Linked DNA regions of Ovis aries. The protein of the gene in region 4 purifies or fractionates together with the protein of the main gene of each other region. This does not show direct contact. Links are inferred from orthologs where the notes say so. Each region holds a gene or a part of one and is shown on either strand. Other genes may lie near its edges.

Evidence for each region.
Region 1: the proteins of RARA (region 4) and PML purify together in Homo sapiens (affinity purification with western blotting; 6 studies listed by BioGRID, with this or other methods). This does not show direct contact. The link is inferred for Ovis aries from reciprocal best matches to the Homo sapiens genes RARA and PML.
Region 2: the proteins of RARA (region 4) and KLF5 purify together in Homo sapiens (affinity purification with western blotting; 4 studies listed by BioGRID). This does not show direct contact. The link is inferred for Ovis aries from reciprocal best matches to the Homo sapiens genes RARA and KLF5.
Region 3: the proteins of RARA (region 4) and KAT2B purify together in Homo sapiens (affinity purification with western blotting; 3 studies listed by BioGRID). This does not show direct contact. The link is inferred for Ovis aries from reciprocal best matches to the Homo sapiens genes RARA and KAT2B.

The regions. Positions count from the first base shown.
Region 1 is NC_056071.1:32,241,364-32,246,323, forward strand, and holds part of PML (protein PML), read right to left. Parts: intron 4,036-4,960; coding exon 3,916-4,035; intron 3,505-3,915; coding exon 3,255-3,504; intron 1,940-3,254; coding exon 1,887-1,939; intron 1,215-1,886; coding exon of another isoform or gene 477-1,214; exon of another isoform or gene 135-476; intron 1-134.
Region 2 is NC_056063.1:48,408,715-48,413,674, reverse strand, and holds part of KLF5 (Krueppel-like factor 5), read right to left. Parts: intron 4,708-4,960; coding exon 3,834-4,707; intron 2,816-3,833; coding exon 2,756-2,815; intron 1-2,755. UniProt on the Homo sapiens protein: Transcription factor that binds to GC box promoter elements. Activates the transcription of these genes.
Region 3 is NC_056054.1:278,285,038-278,290,641, forward strand, and holds the start of KAT2B (histone acetyltransferase KAT2B), read left to right. Parts: upstream 1-1,774; 5' UTR 1,775-1,920; coding exon 1,921-2,166; intron 2,167-5,604. UniProt on the Homo sapiens protein: Functions as a histone acetyltransferase (HAT) to promote transcriptional activation. Has significant histone acetyltransferase activity with core histones (H3 and H4), and also with nucleosome core particles.
Region 4 is NC_056064.1:40,340,391-40,344,679, reverse strand, and holds part of RARA (retinoic acid receptor alpha), read right to left. Parts: intron 3,469-4,289; coding exon 3,308-3,468; intron 3,019-3,307; coding exon 2,842-3,018; intron 1,632-2,841; coding exon 1,427-1,631; intron 653-1,426; coding exon 494-652; intron 1-493. UniProt on the Homo sapiens protein: Receptor for retinoic acid. Retinoic acid receptors bind as heterodimers to their target response elements in response to their ligands, all-trans or 9-cis retinoic acid, and regulate gene expression in various biological processes.

The DNA.
Region 1 (4,960 bases), on a different chromosome or scaffold from region 4:
AGGCTATGGCAGAAAGAGGGTCACAGCAGCCCCACAGGTGAACCAAGAGTCCGTGCAGAGGAGACAAAGACCACTAGCCGGGAGGAGAGGCCCAGCAGGGAATCCGATGGTCATGGAAGAAGGGTTTGCGAGGGTAATTGTTCAATAAGTGTTTATTGAGCAGCTGCACCTGCCAGGGCCTGGGAGCCACACAGTCCCTGCCCTCATGGGCTTACATCCTGGCAGAGGCCCAGTGGGAAAGCTTGGGGCGGGAGAATGGGGCTGTGGGAGTTGCAAAGGGTGCGAGAAGCTTCCTTGTCTTGGGCAAAGAGACTTGAGGATGTGAGGAACGAGAATATCCTGACTGGGGAGGCCTTAACCCTCTTTGTTCAGAGGTCCATGGAGCCATGCATTCCCTGCTTCATTCTGTGACAAGACGTTTGGGATGCCAACCTGCCAAGCTCCAGGGCTGCAGAGGAGGGAGGCGCTTGGGACACTCAGAGGCTTGTCTGCGGGGTGTCTGTGCTGATGGGTGGCCTCTCCAGAGGGTGGAGTGGTAGGAATGCACTTGGAGAGGCCTCCGGGGGGACCTGGACTGGGGGATTTTCCATGGGGGCCCTGCCAGAATCCCCAGGGGAGACCCCTGCTCCAGGAATTTGGGATGCTCTGCCTCCCCGCATTATTCTCCTATAAAAGGTGTTACGCTGGGAGATCCCAGGGGGGTGAGGAAGGGGAAAGATGTTGAGCCACTGGGACACAGCAGGGAAGGGGTCAAGGGGTCGTGCAGCCAGTTGCACCAGGTGGGGTTGGCCGCTGGCCCTTTGGGGGCAGGTGGGATCCTCCTGGGGATTGGCAGGTTGGCTGGGAGGCCCAGTGGTGGCCGGGGTGGTGGCTTGACCCATGGACGGAGGCCAAGGCCACCTGTGGGCACCATACGTTTTGAGGGGCAGGTGAAAGGTGCTGCGAGGGCGCAGGGCTCTTTGCGCCCCACGTGACAGGAAGCTGATCCCACGGTGGACGGCAGCTTGCTCCTGGTGACCGGCAGGCTGGCTGGGACTCTCAGCGTCGGGGATGGCAGCTTGCTCGGCAGGATGGTGGGGAGGCCAAGCCGAGGGGCGGCATGTGCCATGGGACAGACGAGAGGCCCGGAGGGAGTGGGACGCTCGGCGAGCTCTCGGCGGGGGTTGGATGGATGAGGAAGGAGGCAGGACGGCGGTCTCAGTGGGCTCCGCACGCTTTCCAACACAGAACCTCAGACTGAAGGCTGGCAGGGGCCTCAGGGGCCACCCAGTCCAGCCTTCCACTCTAATTCCGATCCCTTTCACCCCTGGGCAGGTGACAGCCTGGCCTTTATGAACCGCTATGAACAAACCTCCAGGGACAGGAGGGTCACAACCCGTGCGGCCACTTGTCCCACTGTGGGATGGCTTTAAAGGAAGTTCTGCTTACATGGAGTCACAGTGTACTAGTCTGGGGCCTGCGTGGTGCTGCCCTGCACCCTCATACCCCCATGTGGCCCTGCATCACTGCCGTTAACCGGGGAACGGGTGCAGGTCCGCCCCCCTCACTGAGACTTAGGAGGGCAGACAATGCATAAGGAAGCCGCAGACACAGGCATTGGCTAGTCCAGAAAAGATATAGGGCTCTGAAGGGAAGCCCTGTCCAGGCCTTCAGAAAGAGTACGTGTGATTACTGATGGCTCCTACCCTGGTACGATGGGAGGGCTGGGGCGATCCAGGCCACAGCTGGCAATTGGAGACTATCCTCCGGACAGCTCAGGACTCACTGCCTCACTGATAAATCCCCTGGGCGCGAGGTGAGTCTGAGAGTCACCTGCTGGGGCTGTGCCCCTGGGGACCTGGAATGGGGGGAGGCAGTGTCCTGGGTCAGACTTCTGAGCAACTCACCGGGTTTTCAGCATCTGAGTCTTCCGAGCTGCTGATCACCACGACGCGCTCCTCTGAAACGGAGCAGGGGAGACAGGGTTAGGCCCTGCCAGGGCTGCTCGTGGATGGAGCCCAGGGTGTTCTCCTGTGGGAATCCTTGCAGGCCAGTGGGCTGGGTGGGTAACATGTGCCCTGCAAGGGGGCTGTCAACATTCAGCGTGTGTGCCAGCGTGGATCTGCCTGTTTAGTCGCTCAGTTATGTCCGACTCTTTGCAACCCTGTGGACTGTAGCCCGCCAGGCCTCTCTGCCAGTGGAATTCTCCGGGCAAGAATACTGGAGTGGGTTGCTGTGCCTCCCTTCAGGGGACCCCCAATGCAGGGATCGAACCTGCCTCTCTGATGTCTACCTGTGTTGGCAGGCGTGTTCTTTACCACTGGGCCACCTGGGAAGCCAGGATCTGCCTGTACGGAGGGGTTACTCAAGGTGGCTTTCCATCACTGCCTGCTATGCCTTGTCTGTGACGACTTAATTCAGCTACTGGCCCTGGAATGATTCAGAACTGACTACCTGTGGAGGGGGTGTGACAAGCACCACCTGGTTTGGAACCTTTGACCATCCTAAAGCAGCACACTGGTTGTTCCAATTCTCAGCTCTGTGAGCTGAGATGTTTGAGTTAAAAGATACTTTAGGTTTACAAAACCTGATTACCAATAGCATTTGTGAGCGAGGATTCTCCATTGGGGCTGAGTGTATGGCCAGGGTCAGGGTTCAGTGTGACCGGGGACAGGGGTCAGTGTGGGACCTAGAATGAAAACAATGCTGGACACTGGGTAAAAGAGCTCCAGGAAGAACAGTCTTGAACATTCCAGGATTCTGGGGGTTGACCTCCACTCACATGAAAGGACTCCCTGTCTGGCAGTGGCCATAAAAGATACCTTGAGCAAGCGAGATACCTTAGGTGGATGGCCTTCGTAAAAAAAATTTGGGAACCGACGGGTGTGGACTTTACCCAAGTCTTCTCTGAGCATGTGCTAGACACCCACCAACAAACATTGTTTGGGGAGACCCATCCTGTGCAGAGGCATGGTACTGGGTTCAAAAAGGGTGTGTCAGGGGAAGGAGCTAAGGAAATGTGTTCCCCAGGCTATCATGCTCCCTATATGGGCATCCCAGAAAAGCATGGGCTAAACCATCCGCGCTAGCCCCCCCCAGACAAACCCTGGGCTTGCCCTTCCCCATTTGGTGGCAGCTGAGGGCAAGACACACAGGGAATGCTGCTTGCCTTGGGCTTCCTGGGAAGGGCGTGAGGATGCAGAGGAGGGGTCCCACCCAGCCCCTGGAAGACAGCATGCAGGCCTCAGCCCATCCTGCCCATCCCCACTCCCTACCTGTCTCTGCAGGGTCGCCGGTTTGATGGTTGCTTTCAGGCAAGGGGAGCTCATCTCTTATGATGGGGCTCTTGGGGCTGGAGGGCCCATCCAGGTGGGGTGGCGAGACTGCCCTGGAGGTGCTGGGCCTGGGCTGCTCAGGGGAGCTCTGAGCCAACCTAGACTCTTCCCCCTCCTCAGACTCCATCTTGATGACCTTCCGGGGGCACTCGGTCTGGCAGGCCTTCCTCTTCTGCGTGTGGGTGCCCTCCTGTGCAGTGGGGTGTCACAGGGCAGGGTCAGGAGCCTCCAAGGGGACTGGGGCCGTGGGCAGAGACCCAGACCTGAGTGGCAGGAATCTGTTCCCCGCCCCATGCCCTTTGCTCCTCCTGTCCCCTTTGCTATCTGCCGTGCGGATCACACCTCTCTACACAGAGGTCCTCCCAAGTCAGCAGGCACACTGGCCCTGCTGGTGACCACTGACCACCAATCTCTGCTGGCTTCTGACTGCCCTGGGAGGGGCTCCTGCTTGGAGGGAAGCTTCCTAACACGGCAACCAAGAGCTGGGAGAGTGCAGAGTCAGTGCCTATTGAGGTCTGGGTTCTCACTTCCATTCCACCTCTTACCACCTAGTGGGATCCGGGCCCTGGGAAGGGGAGGGGAGGGCTGGGGAATATCTTACTTCTCTGCGGGAGGGGTCTTGGATGGAGAAGGCGTACACTGGCACAGGGTGTGCCCCTGGCACCGGCTGTACCACGGCCAATCCCGCGGCTTGCATCTGGTCCCTCGGCACCTCCTCTGGCTGCAAAGTTGGGACACAAAAGTAGTCAGAAATGACCAGGTAGGGGACTACCCTGGTGGGCCAGTGTGTAAGTCCCTGTACTCCCAATGCAGGGGGCTCAGGTTTGACCCCTGGTCAGTGAACTAGATCTCACATGCCGAAACTAAAGAGCGCGTGTGCCTCAACTAAGACCCAGTGCAGCCAAATAAATAAATATAAAAAACAAAAATGACCAGGCAGTAGGACCACCCAGGTCCCCTGGTGTGGGGTCAGCTCAGTCTCCAAGGCCTCACCCAGACATAAGAGCTGGCTCCTGGTCCAATACCCAGAGCCTACTGGGGACCAGAAGTCTTCCTTGCAGCCTCCATGACTTCACCTATGGCAACCCTGAGGCGCGGCACCCCAGGGACTACGTCAATGCCTGTGCATCCTAACGGTGCCAGAAGATGGCCTCAGGGATCATACTGCCAACAACTCAAGGCTCGCTTGACAAGTAGACCCAGCCTAGACAACTCCAGGGCTTCCCTGGTGGCTCGGACAGTAAAGAATCCACCTGTAATGTGGGAGACCTGGGTTCAATCCTTCGGTTGGGATGATCCCTTGGAGGAGGGCTTAGCAACCCACTCCAGTATTCTTGCCTGGAAAATCCTCATGGACAGAGGAGCCTGGCAGGCTATGGTCCATGGCGTTGCAGTCAGACATGACTGAGCGACTAAGCAGAGACCAGCACAGACAACTCTAGGGACAAAGTGGTGGTGGTGGTGGTGGTCCCTACTAATGGTAGTAGCTCCTCTCTAGCTGCAAATTCATCATAGAGAGGGGACCCTTCCACTGAGCTGACATTGCCCCCTGCCCCATCACCTGTTCACAACAGCCCAAAGGTGGAAGCAGCCCAAATGTCAACTGATGAAGAGATAAAATGTAGGGTAGCCATTCAGGAGAATGC
Region 2 (4,960 bases), on a different chromosome or scaffold from region 4:
ATTTTTCCTCTAGAACAGAGGCAACATCAACTTCAGGTATTTTGTCTAACCATAGAGTTCTGCATTACTTTTGTATATTCTTTCTGAATAAAGAAATCAAAATGTATAAACTCAGAAAAACTTGAATGCTATGAGACTTCTAACAGCCATTTTCTACTCTTTCATCTCGAATTTTTAAAAAAACGTCTTGTTTGGGAAAGACTATGTCCTTATGTTCGGTTTATAAGTCAGGAAGCATTTTCGATCTAAAAATCCAGAATAAGCAATTAAACAGAACTCAGGCGTAGGTTGTTTTAATTGCTTAAAACATTTTAAAAATATAAGGTAACTTGACATTTTAAAGCAATTACAATTATTTTCTAAAGAAGTCCTAGGGTCCTGCACATTCTGCCTAAAGTGGCAATCGTTAAAAAGTTTTTATATCAAAAATACAATATCAACATTCCCACATAAATTTTTTTTTAAGTCCTCTAAAACAAAAAGTTAATTACACTGAGAGAAGTCATTTAGAAATACCTGGGCCTTTAAAGGAAGAAGGAAAGAAAAAAAACTTCGCTAGCTTCAGATACATTCATTAAAAAACGACAGGGTGGGGAGGATGCAATGAGAGCACACAGGTAATTTTCAAAGGCATTGTGTAGAAACTAAAAATGAGGAGAAAACAACCTCAATGCTCTATGATTACCCAAGAACGGGTTTAGCCAGATGAACAAGTCTGCCACAAACCCTCCTCGAGGCGTCTGAAAGGCTATCAAACAAAACTTTATTAAACTGGATTACGGGGTCTCACTCATCAGATGTCAATGGACACACATTTATGATCGCGTGGAAAAGTCGATACATGGGATTCAAACTAGGCCTACATCTTCTTTTTAGTTGGTTTTTATCTTTTTCAGTATAAGCATCGTTAAGACAACCCACTATTAAATTTCCCTGCCAGCAGGTCAAGTTCCAGAATCCCAGGTATAAGCATTCTGAGCACTAAACCCTGCCAGGGGTTGCAAGGCCATTTAGATATGCCCTGACTACATCCCAGCAATAAGCAGTTGATTGCATCGATATATGGAATCATGCTCCTCCTTTATTAGGAGACTTTAACCTCAGGAGAAACATTGTTTCCTCCTTCCTATCTCCCATTTCAAGGACTTTCAAAGGAGAAAGGACAAGAGCTCAAAAGTTCTGAAGTTATTTCCTCTTCTCCTTAATCATAATTCAAGTAAAAACCCATTTTCAATGTTTCTTGCTAAATATATAATATATATTCTATAAAAGGATAGTTTAGTATTTCCATAGACTGTTTTCATGGTCTTGTCATTTGTATGCTGAAAACTGCAGACTGAGTTTACATGCTAATGGGTGTTTGTTTAAGTATAAATATAACTTCTACTTTGGGATTAGGAGATAGCCTTTTGTCTCTACCTAAAAACTTCAGGTTGAAACAACCCACTGGTTTCACTGATAAATACAGGAGATGTCTTTTCTTTAAAAGCAATTTCTCAGAAAGCCCTGGAATCTACCACATTGTCGCCAACACTACTCAGATTTTAAGTAGTATTTATCACTGGGATATCAAGCAATACTTTCCAATGCGCATAAGAAATGTCTGCAGCCATGTTCCTCTTTGAGCTCTATCTCAGCACTGACCTTTGTTCAAAGGCTTTTACTTTTTAATGCAGCAGTTAGAGATAACTACTTCATTTATCAAAACTCAATTTCCATAGTAACATCTAGCCTGGGGAGATTCAAGTCCTCACACTAATCCAGCAGCCCATTCAAAGGAACTGTTGAACACTTTGGTTTCCATAGCAATGATGGAATAAAACATTTTGCTAGGTCATTGCTTTTATTAGCAAACTTATTCTCTGAACTTTAGGTTAAAGCTGCATTTACGGAGAGGAAAAAAAAACACAATCACTTTGTATAGGTTCTTTCCTTCAGGCCTATCCTTTTAAGAAAATCACTAATGGTAACCACCCATAGTTTTAAAAATACTTCGGGTATTTGGAGATTTTTACAGCTTGCCACCATCTAATTTCATCCTCAAATAAGTTCTGATATAAAGCTTTGAAAATTTTAAAATGAGTGTATAGATCTGACAAAAGTTTTTATAAAATTATAGGGGCTAAACATTTTAAACACAGATGAGATATTAGCTGGAATAAAGTCTCTCCAATGTATAATATGGACTGGGGTAGAATGTAAAATAACTTTTAAACCACGACTCTAGTTTTGCCTGATTTTAGTATTTTTCAATTTCCAGCCCACCTTTCACCAGCAGGGAAAACATGCTAAACACAGATATTTTAGGCTCAAGGTGAAATTAAGATAATTTATTAAGCAATTATGCTTTACCTGCTAAATGGAAAAGGCTTTAGTGTTTGATGTAGTTTTATAGAAGCCAACTGATTTGTTCTGGAGGGAGAAAATGAGTTACATTTTTTTCCTTCAAGATAGGAATAGCAATGCCATTAAAGTTTTAAAATCCATTAGTAAACATTGTTGTTTATGTTTGGGAGCAATTAATTCTATGTGAGGTGACAGGGCAAGGCCTTAATGAGGGAACATCAGCCTTCCTGGAACCAAACTTTTTTCACTGAACTGAATTTTGAGCCAAGCCAGTGCTGAAAAAGGTAAGCCATTAAAAAATAAAAGTTGACAGAAGAAAGAAGAGATCAAACATGTGCTGGCTTTTAAAAGGATGAATACCACTTATACTATTTACACAACTCACAGAATTAACAAGAAAATTACATACCAGTATGAGTCCTCAGGTGAGCTTTTAAATGAGAAGACTTTGTATAAACTTTTGTGCAGCCTGAAATAAAGGAGAAGAACAGCGTGTCATTCTGGAGATCCTTTTGAAATCTTTACATCTGATGATTCAGTGTTTAAAATCGGGCTTTAAAGATGAAATCTCTCATGCAAGGAGATATTTGAAGCTTCAGTTTTAAGAGATGTTTTAAAGCATACTCCCCTATTACCTGATTAAAGGTATAAAGTGATTTGCTTTATGTTTCACTTTAGCAGAAAGAGAGCAGACAATCAAGCCAAACTACAAATGGGAAATCTGTGTTTATACCAGTAGGTGCTTTATACTAGTAACACATACCTCAGTGAGTTAAAAAATTTTAATGGCTCCAGAGCTGACAATGTTAAACCATTATCCAAGATGACTGCAATTTTCTGTACTCCCACATTTCTTGTTTTTTCATTTAGTATGTCATGTCATATCACGTACCACAGTCAATAAATTATACCCTGTATTAATCATAAACTAGCTTATGCCAGCAACTTCTAGATATATTCATCACCATCATCAATTTATATTTTGGACCACATATCTCATTCAAGAAAGAGCATATGGTCACATGCTATCAGAACCAACCCTGAAATCTATTCTATAGATGGTCTTGTCTTGCACCAACCCACTCTTCATTGCCACCCATTCTTTTCCCCTATGTTACTTAAGTAATTCCTTTCCAGGTTACTTAATTTAGAATTAAGAACTCCAATTTAGATTGCTACAGTAAACATGGTAAGTGTAGCAAGACTCTCATGTATTTAACATTAAAAAGAAAAGAGTCCAGTAACTTTTTTTTTCCCATAATATTCCAAACTTTTTTTTTTACTATTATCAAATAAGCACAAAGTAACTAAACAGTTACTTGGGTAAGGCACTGGAGACTGGGATGCCGCAAGAGCAGAGCAGGTGAATTTTCTTTTAACTGTCAACCACTAGTCTCCCATGTAAAGTTGGAATGTGAGGTGGAAAATGGCACGCACGAACACACTAAACACACACACTGATTCTTTAACCAGGTAGGATCACATACCTGGGTAATCGCAGTAGTGGATGCGCCGTTTCTCCAAATCAGGGTTACTCCTTCTATTGTATCTGACAGGCTGGATGTTTTGCGAAGTAACTGGCAGGGTGGCAGGTAAATTTGGATTATGAATTGCCAGTTTAGAAGCAATGGTAGCAGCATAGGATGGAGGTGGGGTTAAATTCTGAAGCATCTCTGCTTGTCTATCTGGACTTCCAGGCTCTGAGCTTGGTGGTGACGGGGGGAAGTAAGTGGCCTGCTGGGGAAGAAACTGACTTGGCATGGTGTATGTGCAAGGGGGCATGCTCTGGAATTGCTTCATGGCGGTCGGCGGGACGGCGGAGGTGTGAGTGTTAAGGCCTGCCATGGCGGCCGACATTGATACGTTAAGAGTGTCCATTACTGCTGTCTGGTTGGTAGAACTAGGCATATCTAGATCCGGTGTATTCAGGAGCTGGTACAGATGGCCCTGCTGGGGAGGGACAGAAAGATGAAGGTCTGGTGTAGGAAGTTCTTGTTTGATGAAAATATTGTTCACCTCTGGAGCTGCGGTCTGGTGGGAGCTGAATATGCTGGTGAACTCGGGGAGGGCCTGTGTTGGGGCCGGAGGAGGGGCTGTCGTCTCACTCTGGTGGCTGAAAATGGTAACAGGTTCTGTCTTGATGTGTGTTACACACGGTCTCTGGGATTTGTAGAGGCCAGTTCTCAGGTGAGTGATGTCAGGGAGGAAGACGTTCATGTTGATACTGTAAGGTAACCCTTCACTGTCAGTGAAGAACTGGTCTACGACTGAGGCACTGTCTCGTCTATACTTTTTATGTTCTGGAATTATAGAAACTGGAGGAAGCTGAGGTGTCAGGTACTTCTCCATTTCACATCTTGTCTAAAAAAGAAGAGATAGAAACATGTATAATCTGCCCAATTCATCATCTCGGGAAGAACAAACTGTGCTTACTAAAATTCCCAACAATCTCTATGAAAAATACCCAAGGCAAACTCCTAAGTGTTGCTTATAAACATATCAGGTTTGTCAACTGTGAAACAAATGGTTCACCAAAAACCTTATGAAACTGTGTATAACAAGTGTTTGGTAAAATCGCCCCCGGTCAACCCCAGACAAAGTGAAAGAGACAAAT
Region 3 (5,604 bases), on a different chromosome or scaffold from region 4:
CTTTTTAATGATTCTTAAAGCACACGGTATATATCAGGACACTGTGTCCCTAAACTTTCAGCAGGAGAACCACCAACTAGACTTTAATATTTACGATTTTTGATTTCTTTAAAAAATATAATTTTTTAAATATAGGAAGGATATTTTTATCCAGTGAAATGCACAGATCTCAAGGGGACCATCAGTTTGACAAATGCCGCCACTAAGCTCCTTACAATATCTGCTGACATCATGATGTTGGCCTTTGCTCATGGGATTGCAGCCTTTAAGACATCCTGCTGAGACTGTCCTGATGGAACTAAAGTCTACCATTTCAGACCTTCCGATGGGGCTCGAGTTGGGAGGGGCCCTTTCCTTTTGTGCTGTCTAATGTCCCTGGATTTACAAACTTAGAAAAAATAGAGTTCATTTTTATATATCACTCTGTATTAAAAGTAGAAAGAACACAGAGAACCTAGAAAAAGGCTAGAGAAAATTAACTGGAAAAAAATGGGATGGGAGAGGGAATAATTTCAGGGAAAAGCACATTCCTGCAAGCATTCTGGCTGGAGTTGGGCAAGGCTATAAAGTATGCAAAGAATTTGATAACACGCACATTAATGGCCCGTATTATGTAAAAATTATGGCCGGTACAAAAGCAGGACACTTGTGGAGGGTCTTGAAATATAGCATTGGGCTTTCAAAAGCTGCTTCGGAAAGGCCGACCAAAAGTGCACAACCTTCAAATGAAGAAAACTGAAACATTCTGCGAATTACTAACCACCACTCTCCTTGTCATCAACCATGGGAACGGTAGTCTGCGACAGTCTCAACAAAGTTGAAAACGCTGAGTTGAGCTTTTTTTTTTTTTTTTAAGTTTGAGGCCAGAATCAACACATTCTTTTGGATGCTGCCTAATTGTTTTCATGTTTAATATGCATGCTGGTGATATCAGTTTTGAAAACTGTGAAACATTACAGGGAAGAAGGATATAGAAAGGAGTACGGTTCTAACCCCCACCTGCAGAGATGAGCGCGAGCAGCCAACTTCTCCCCCTGCGTTTAGTTTTCACACGGCGTTTCTTGGACGACCGTTCTTTCCACAACCAGCCCTTTCGAACAAAAACGTCAGAAAATATCCATTAACGTCTTTCCCTTTCTCTGCCGGATGGGATCCAGAGATCGCTTATAGGCTGGAAGCGTTCTGGATTAAAAGAGAGACCTTGGAAGGCAAAGGAACTGCAAAGAGACACGCAAAACATCACGCCTTTATTTTGGTGAATTAGCAACAAAGAAAAGGATTAGCGTGGACGGGTACTTTTCAAAAATGTTTTTTTCCCTCGGGCTCCCGCTAGGGTGGAGGAAGTTGCCCGGCTCCGAGGGCGGGTGGACTGGAGTAGAGAGACGGACGGGGCGCGTCCCTCCCGCCTGCGCCCCCGCGGGGACGGCTTGGAGGGGGGGCGGCCGGCAGGTGCCCGCATCCCCCTCCCTCTCCACCCCTCCAGCCCGCGGCGGGCCTTCCCGCTGGCGGGCGCGGGCCTGGGGCGCGGGGGCGGGCAGGCCGCGGGGGGCGGGGCGGGGCCGGGGAGGAGCGCCCGGGGGGCGGGGCGGGGCCGGGGAGGAGCGCCCGGGGGGCGGGGCGGGGCCGGGGAGGAGCGCCCGGGGGGCGGGGCCGGGGAGGAGCGCCCGGGGGGCGGGGCGGAGCGCGCGGCCGGGGGAGGAGCGCCCGGGCGGGCGGGGAGGCCCGCGGGGAGGAGGCCCGGCGCGCGGCGGGCAGCGCCGGCCCCTCCCTCCGCGAGCAGCTGCGGCCTCGGCGCGCGGCGGGCGGCGGGCGGCGGCGGGCGGCGGGTGGGGGTCCCGCGCTCCGGCGCCCAGAGCCAGGCGGAGACCCTGGCGGCGGCCGCGGCCCCGACTCGCGGCGCCTGCTGCGCTCCGGGCCGGCATGTCGGAGGCGGGCGGGCCCGCGCCCGGGGCGCCCCCGCTGCCCCCCGCGCCCCCGCAGGGCCCCCCGGGCGCGACGGCCGGGGGCGCGGGCTCCTGCGGGCCGGCCGCGGCGGGGGCGGCGGCGGGCGCGGCCGAGGGCCCGGGCGGCGGCTGCTCGGCCCGGATCGCCGTGAAGAAGGCGCAGCTGCGCTCCGCCCCGCGGGCCAAGAAGCTGGAGAAACTCGGGGTGTACTCCGCCTGCAAGGTAGGCGCGCCGCCCGGCCCCCGCCCGCCCCCGGGCCGAAGAGCCGCCCCGGGCCGAGCCCCGTCGCGGGGCGCCGACCCGAGAGGACCCCTCCCCCCCCCAGGCGTTGCTCCGCGTCCGCGCTGCCCTGGGGCGCTGCTGCTCTGTAGGAGCTCGCCGCAGGCGCCTTCCGGGAGCGGAGCGGGTCCCAGGGAGCCCCTCTCGGGGGCCTGCGCGCCCCCCCTCGGTCCTCGTCCCCTCTGGGCGGAGCTGGGTGGAAGTGGGGGCGCGACTCCGGACTCGGGGCGCGCGGGGCGGGGGGAGCGGCCGCGGGGTCCCGGGGCGCTGCGCGTGCGGGCGGCCGGGCGCCCCGTGCTTTGCTTTGCAGCCGGGACGCTGCCCCGGCTCTCGGCTGTAAACAGCACTCCCGGCTCTTCTGCCCGTCCGGACGCGGCGCCGCCTGGGGGCCGCTGTCAGCTCGGCCTGGGCCGGGTGACGGCGGGGCGGGGACGGGCGTCCCGGCCCTGCGCCCCCCGCGGAGGGGGCCAGGCCGGGCGCTCGGGGTCAGTAGCCCCGCGCGCGCGTCCCCCGGCCCGGGGGCTTCAGCGTCTGCAGGGGAGTCTCGGCTCCTGGGCGCGCTCCCCTCCGCGCCGCTCACGCCCTGTGTGGACCCTGCCCGGTTCCGTGCAGGCTTGTCGGCTGGGGTAGCATGCACTCACGCTTGAGTGCTCACGGGCATCTCCCGGGCGCCGCTTCCATTTTCACGCGATGTCCGAAGGGCTGGGACGAGGCTGAGAGGCTGCTCTATGGGGGTGCGATGCTGGGCGGCTCACAGGCCCCATCCCGCGGGCAAACCCCAGTGCCACCCGGGACGGTGTCGGACTACTGAAACTGGGCGACAGCGGTGCCCCGAGGCTGGTGTTTCTGAAGGAGCAAAAGTGACCGAGGAGGAGAGTGCTTCTTAGAAGGGCCCGGGGGGTGCCTGGCAGGCGCCGTAGATGAGAGAACGAGGCGGGGGAGCCGCGGGCGCAAGGCAGGTCTGCGCCGGGCCGGGAACGGGCCCAGGTACCCGGCGGCCGCGGGTTCGGAACCAGAGGGGCTCGGCCCGGCGGCGCTTGTCCGCTCCGAGTTTCTAGTGTGGTCTTTTAATCGGGTTCCTTCTCACCCTGCTGCTCCCCTAACTTGCCTGAAGTTTTGGTTCTGTCTAAAACCCTTGAGCATCTGCCCTGCATTCATATTTTTAATCCTTTCAAATGTCCGTGAGTGAAATTAGCGCCTTTTCTAAAGTTTATAACTTGACTGTTTTACGTGCACGTTAACAACCAAACCTATTGGAACGGAGCGCCTTGTCATCGAAGGTGTCTCTTCTTGCTCCTGGGAGGCTGAGGCTCCATATCCAGTTGCTCGTTAGTTCATGCAGTGTTAGAGGGATTCCCATCAGGGTGCCAGGCGTCGTGCTAGCTGGGACAGTGACACCCAGAATGTGTCCTTCTGGGGCTACTGGCCGGACGTGTGCGCGGCCTTTCGTGCAAGTGGTGGGTGAGCCAGTTACAGTGAATCTCAGAAAACTTGCCTTTTTAGAATGCTGTTGGCACTCAGACCAGGCCCTTCACGGACTGAAAAGCACGGGTTGGGTAGGAATAGCTTCCTGGAGGAAGTGTCAGTGGGTGCTAAGAACTCTTAGCGGTGCAGGGTGGGGTGAGCTGCAGCCTCTAGTAGTGAAGAGACTGAAAGCAGTTCTGACAGCTTGGAGCTGGGCCAGCAGGGCCTAGAGGGTTGGTGGGGAGGTGTGTGTGTGGCCAAGAGGGAGGACAGGGATCTTAATATTATCTCAGGTTTTTTGTTTGTGTTTTAACTGTTCTTGAGTGTGAGGAGGTGCAGGAGACCAGCATCTGTGTTCCTTTCTGAGCTTGCCTGTACCTTTTATATAAGAAAACCCCAAAGGACAGATTCCCCTACCTTCTGTCACTGATCGGCCACTTGGCAAAAGTGGCATCTCTCTGGAAAGAGGAGTACTTTCCTGGGGGTGGGGGTGGGTGGGTGTTGGAGTTATTGAAAGAAAATAGGCCTCAGACCTGATAAAAGTCTGGCCTTTAAACTTCACAAACAAGCAGAAAAAGAAGGGAGCTAGTTCCTAGCCAGGGAGGGGCACCACACCCCGGAGAGAAAAAAAAAAGAAACAGACTTGTTTTGCAGGATCCGGAGTAGAGCTCTTGGAACTGTGTCCTGGCCCAGGTCGCTCAGGTGACCCAGGCAGAGTGCTCGTTAAAAATGTAGGTCTGAGCACATTCTGTCCCTACTGACCCTTAATTTCTCTTTACCGCAAGACCCTGCATGGGCTGGCCACTGCTGTCTCTCCGGCCCCTTTTGAGGGCTGTGCATGCAAGGTTCCCTTCTGCCTCAGGGCCTTTGCACATACTGTTCACCAGGACCGAAAGTTCATCTTCCCTCACCTTCAAGCGAACTCCCAGCTCTTCCTGCAAACCTGATTCCTTGCATCACATTCAGAACCCTATTCAGCCTTCCCATTCTAAATTTTCAGAACCCCTCTCTGTACTCATGTCTTCTTCCTGGTGCTTTTGTCTTGACTTTTAATTGTGTGATTATTTGATGATATGTTTGTCACTCTGGATAGATGCTAAGTGATGTGGTTATTGACTGGCTGAGTGAACTAGAAAAAACCGAGATGATTCACTGCTAGAAGACCAGTAGTGAAATTGTAGCCTGATCACTCTTTGACAGCTGGGTGGAGGGAATTGGTGATTTTTCACCTAGGGCCTTTCCAGGGCTCTCACAGATGTGCATAGGACTAGATTTTTAGTGTTATAGGAGCGCCGAGTAAGTTACAAGGAGCCCAAATCCATATCTGTTTGAATGAGAGTGTAATTTATGTACCGGAAAGCCAAAACCATTACCTGATTCTTCCTAGTGAAATAGGCCATTTCTCGAGGAGAGGAGGCTGGAGGGGGTGGTGGGCGAGAGCCCCGTGCGTTCACACTTCAGGCCCCGGTGCGTGACCTTGGACGCGGACTTTACCTCACTCTCCGTCTCCTTGCCTACAGCGCGGGGCTCGGAGCCGCCACCTCGCAGGGTGACACTGCGGACTTCAGATGGGCTACTGTGTCTGAGCACCAGCAGGCGCGTGGTCCCTGGTGCATCCTCTCAGCAGCTCAGAGGAGGGTACCCTGGAGGCGTGGGAGTCGAGAAGGAACGCGGGGCTTGGTCTCGGGTCTCAGCTCTGCCGCGTGTGTGGCCTTGGGCACCAGCCACGGAGTTTCCCTCTGAACCTGGCTTGCTTCATCTCTAAGACGGAGACCATGACTTCAGCCTTGAAGTTCAAAGACAGAAGGTCCCAGAATGTTCCTGGAACCTTAGACTGTTGTTGGGTCCGCACTGGCAAAATGAATCTGCCTGGTGCTGAAACAGAAATAGTTTCTGATGTAGAAAACAAGCTTATAG
Region 4 (4,289 bases):
AAGGGGTAGGAGGATCCACAGTACCAGTATCAGCTCCCGCCACACACCGAACCCTGCACTCAGTTTTCTGACCTAAGCCAGCTCTCCTCAGCCCCGACAGCTGAAGGGCAGCAGGGCAAAGTAGCTCCCAACTCTGGCTCTGGGGTCACTGGGCTTGATGCCAGGCCCTTCCTACGTGCTGCTGACTCTCCTACTGACATCTCAAGACAACTCCGTAAATGTTATCCCTGCTCTGCAGATGAGTAACTGAGGCTCAGAGCCGTCGTGTGACCCGCTCAAGGACACACAATGGTCTGGTTCCAGAGCCATGCCCTAAACTAGCATGCCAAGATGACACTGCCACCTTGGGGCTCACAGGCAGGGAGGTCACCTGGGCACGGTGGGGTCCAGGTGAGTGGGGCATCACATGGGCACAAAGATGTGGGGTACTGGCTCAGATGCAGGAGGCCTGACTCTGGACATGGATGGCAGACACACAGGGAGAGAGCCTCACCCTTAGCACTGATGCTCCGGAGGTCTGTGATCTTCATCAGCATCTTGGGGAACATGTGTGGGCGGCTGGGCCTCCGTTTCCGCACATAGACCTTCAGTGCCTCAAGCAGCGGCTCCTGCAGCATGTCCACCCTGTCTGGCTGCTCCAGGTCCTGCCGGTCTGAAGAAGCAGAGAAGCCCGCTCAGTCCGGTGAGGAGCACAGCTGCGGGCCCCATCGTGACCACCAGGGGGCGCCCCTGTCCAGGCCACAGGCAGAGTATCGTTGCTCCCCACGCCTCCCCACACACAGAGGCCCTAAGAGGCTCTCAAATGTGAGCAAAGAGGGGCAAATGTGAGCAAAGAGGGGCTGGGGACAAGGGTGTCCCAAAGCTCACCCTGAGAGCCCACACCCCTAAACACAGGCAGTGCCATCTTAAGTAGAGGTAGGTCTCCCACTCCTGCTGGTTATTCTGGACACCAGCCCAACATGGCAGCACTCATGTCAATAAAATAGTAACAGCAGCCAACATCTCCTGGGTCTTACTCTGGGCACACTGTGCCTTATTTATTACCTCCTAATCCTCCCATCAACTTTATGAAGTGGAGACCATTACTGCCCCCATTTTACAGAAATGGAGGCTCAGAGAAGTTCAGCGACCCTGCTGAAGGTCACATGTTGGCCAGGATTTGAACCTGGGTGGTCTGACCTCCAAGTCCTCACTCGTAAGCCCCCTGTAAGGAGCGCTGCCTGGAAATAGGGAACCAGAGCTCAGGTCTCCATCACTGTTCCCTTGCCCTGTGGCCACAGACCAGATCCTACTCCACTGGGACTCAGTTTCCTGTCTGACAGGTGCCTTTCTGATCAAATGATCCCCCAGCTTCTCCCTGGGAGAGGCTCCGCAAGCCACACCACCACCCCTGAGCCTGGCCCCCAGACCCAGGGCCCCTGCCCACCTCCACAGATGAGGCAGATGGCGCTGAGCAACCCAGTCTCAGCGTCATCCATCTCCAGGGGAAGCAGCTGGTTGGCGAAGGCGAAGACCAGGTCCGTGAGTGGGCCGAAGCCGGCGTTGTGCATCTGGGTCCGGTTCAGGGTCAGCCCGTCCGAGAAGGTCATCGTGTCCTGCTCGGGCGTGTACCGCGTGCAGATCCGCAGGATCTGGGTGCAGAGGGTTCTCGAGTTCAGGAACTCACATCCGCCAGCACTTCCGGCACCAGCATCCCCCCCAGGACCACCTGGCCGGCAGCCAGACCACTACGGTTCTACAGAACCTTCTGTGCAACACAGTAGCCACCAGTCACACTGGTGACCGCTGGGCACTTGAGACATGCTGAGTGCAACTGAGGAACTGAATTTAATTTTAATTAATTTCAATTTAAAACAGCCATACATGGCCAGCGGCTACTGTATTAGACAGTGCAAATCTACAGCATCCTGCCTCCACACAGAGAATTAAGAGGGAGACAAAACATTTCCAGGAAGGCCCAAACCAAAGGGGGTTTCGGTCTATGGTTCCCAGGGCTGGGTACAGAACAAGAGCTCAGTAAATGTACCTCATCTTCAGCTCTCTCAAACCCTGACCCTGCCTCTTGCATCTCCCTTCCACCAGGAGCAGCAGCCTGGTCACAGCCCAGGTTCCCGACCTTGGAGGTCGCCAAGAGGGAACAGGAGGGCTGAGGAAGACAGGGAGGACAAGCCTCCCTCCAGCCTTGGATTTGACAGTCTCATCCGCCCCCATCCTGCCTCAAGTCCAGCCTACCCTCTGGCCCCACCAAATGCCCTGCAGGCCCCTGAATCCCACTGGTCCCACACCAGCAGGCCTTCCACATACCGCTCTACACACCTCTAGAGGCTACCTCCTCTGGGGCTCTTCCCTAGGGCCCAGCAGTGCGGCTCTCTGTCCTGCAGGGAGGGGACAGCCCTCCCCTATCTGCAGCCAGCACTTATCACAGTTTTGCAACCTCTGTTTACCTATCTGTTGCCTCCACCAATGGAAGATTCTCAAGAGGGGACAGTGGTGTGTTCACCTCTGTTCTGAAACCCAGTTCAAGGCCTGGCCATACAGGGTCCCAGGTGAACCTTTATTAGACTGAATAGATGGGAAGATGGGTGGCTGGACGGAAGCACTGAATCAAAGATGGGCTGAGGATGGACGAATGAGAGTACAGGTGAATGGTGCACACCGGGTGCTGGGTGGCTAAGCAGACAGGTAGACATGCGGGAGAGAGCAAAGGTGGCTGTTTGGGTGGGTGGGCCTTTGGACAGGTTGACTCCAGACAGATTTTTAGGAAGGTGCTTATTTGAGCGGCAGGACATCCTCCAAGAACACAGGGGGCAGTGCCTAGGTGGGCAAGGTGCAGACCCTCACCAGGATGTCCAGGCAGGCAGCCTTGAGGAGGGTGATCTGGTCCGCAATGGTGAGGGTGGTGAAGCCGGGCAGTTGCTTGGCGAACTCCACAGTCTTAATGATGCACTTGGTGGAGAGTTCACTGAACTTGTCCCAGAGGTCAATGTCCAGGGAGACACGCTGTTCTGAGCTGTTGTTCTGGGCGGATGGGGGGGGCAGGGGGAGGAAAGTGAGGGCCTTCCCCTGGTGGCACCCTTCTGGGCCTGGCTCTACCTGCCCCGCCCCACAGGCCTGCCCTCTACTGGCCTTCACTTCCTGAGAGGCGGGGAAGGGGCAGACAAGGCAGCCCAAGCAGGGCTGCGGAGGGGCAGGCCTGGAAGAAGCAGGTGTGCCCCTGGGGGGCTGTACCGAAGTGTATTTGCCCAGCCTGGGGGAGGGGCAGGCCTGACAGCTGGAGGGCATGAGGTTGGCGGGGGGTGGGCCATACCGTAGTGTATTTGCCCAGTTGGCAGAGCGCAGGGAAGGTCTCCTGATGCGCTTTGCGCACCTTCTCGATGAGCTCCCCCACCTCCGGTGTCAACGTGTAGCTCTCAGAGCACTCAGGCTTGGGCACCTCCTTCTTCTTCTTGTTCCGGTCATTTCTCACGGCTGTGGAGGGCCCAGGCCGCACAGTGAGAGGGCAGGTGGGGTCAGTGGTCCATCCCCCCAGCCGTCCAACCCCAGCCCAAGCTCCGCCCACCAGACTAAGAACTGTCACTGCACAGAAGTGCACACACGTGAGCGCGCAGGCAGGCGGGACATCCGCACAGCCGGTCCCTTGGCCCCCCCCCCCCCCGCTGCGGTGCCCACCCGGCCCTCACGCTGAGGCCTGCCCCAGGGCCTGTGACCACAGCATGCGTGCCCCAGACCAGCTCGCTCTCCGGGCGTCTGCTCCAGCTCACTCTCCAGGGTGAAAGCCCGTGTGCAGGTGTCCCAGGTCTGTGCTCCCAGCCTCCCTGCCCCCGGCCCTCCTGGCAGTGCTCGGGATGGGCTCAGAGCAGCTCCCTGGGCGGGCAGACACGGAGTAGGGCTCCCCAGCCTGAGAGTAGGGGGCCGGGTGGGAGACTCTCTCGGCCCATTAGCCGGGGGAGCTGACAAATCGCCGGGGGCGCTGAGCCGCACACACCACTCGGCTTTAAAGAAGCGATGGGGTCGTTACCAGCCGATTATCCCAGACACACAATCACTCACGGGGCCAGTGGTGGCGGCTGCTGACGCTGGAGGAAGAGAGGGTGGGGGGTGGGGGACCCAGGGAGGGGGTAGCAGGGTGGGGGGGGAGCTGGCATAATTTGGAGATCACTCATGTCGATTCTGCAAATTCAATAAAGTGCAAGGGAGAGAAGGGAGCGGGAGAGAGAGAGAGGGGGGATAATTTGGGAAGAGAAAATTGCAGCTGTGACAAGACGTTTATCATTCGGAAGCTTTAATTC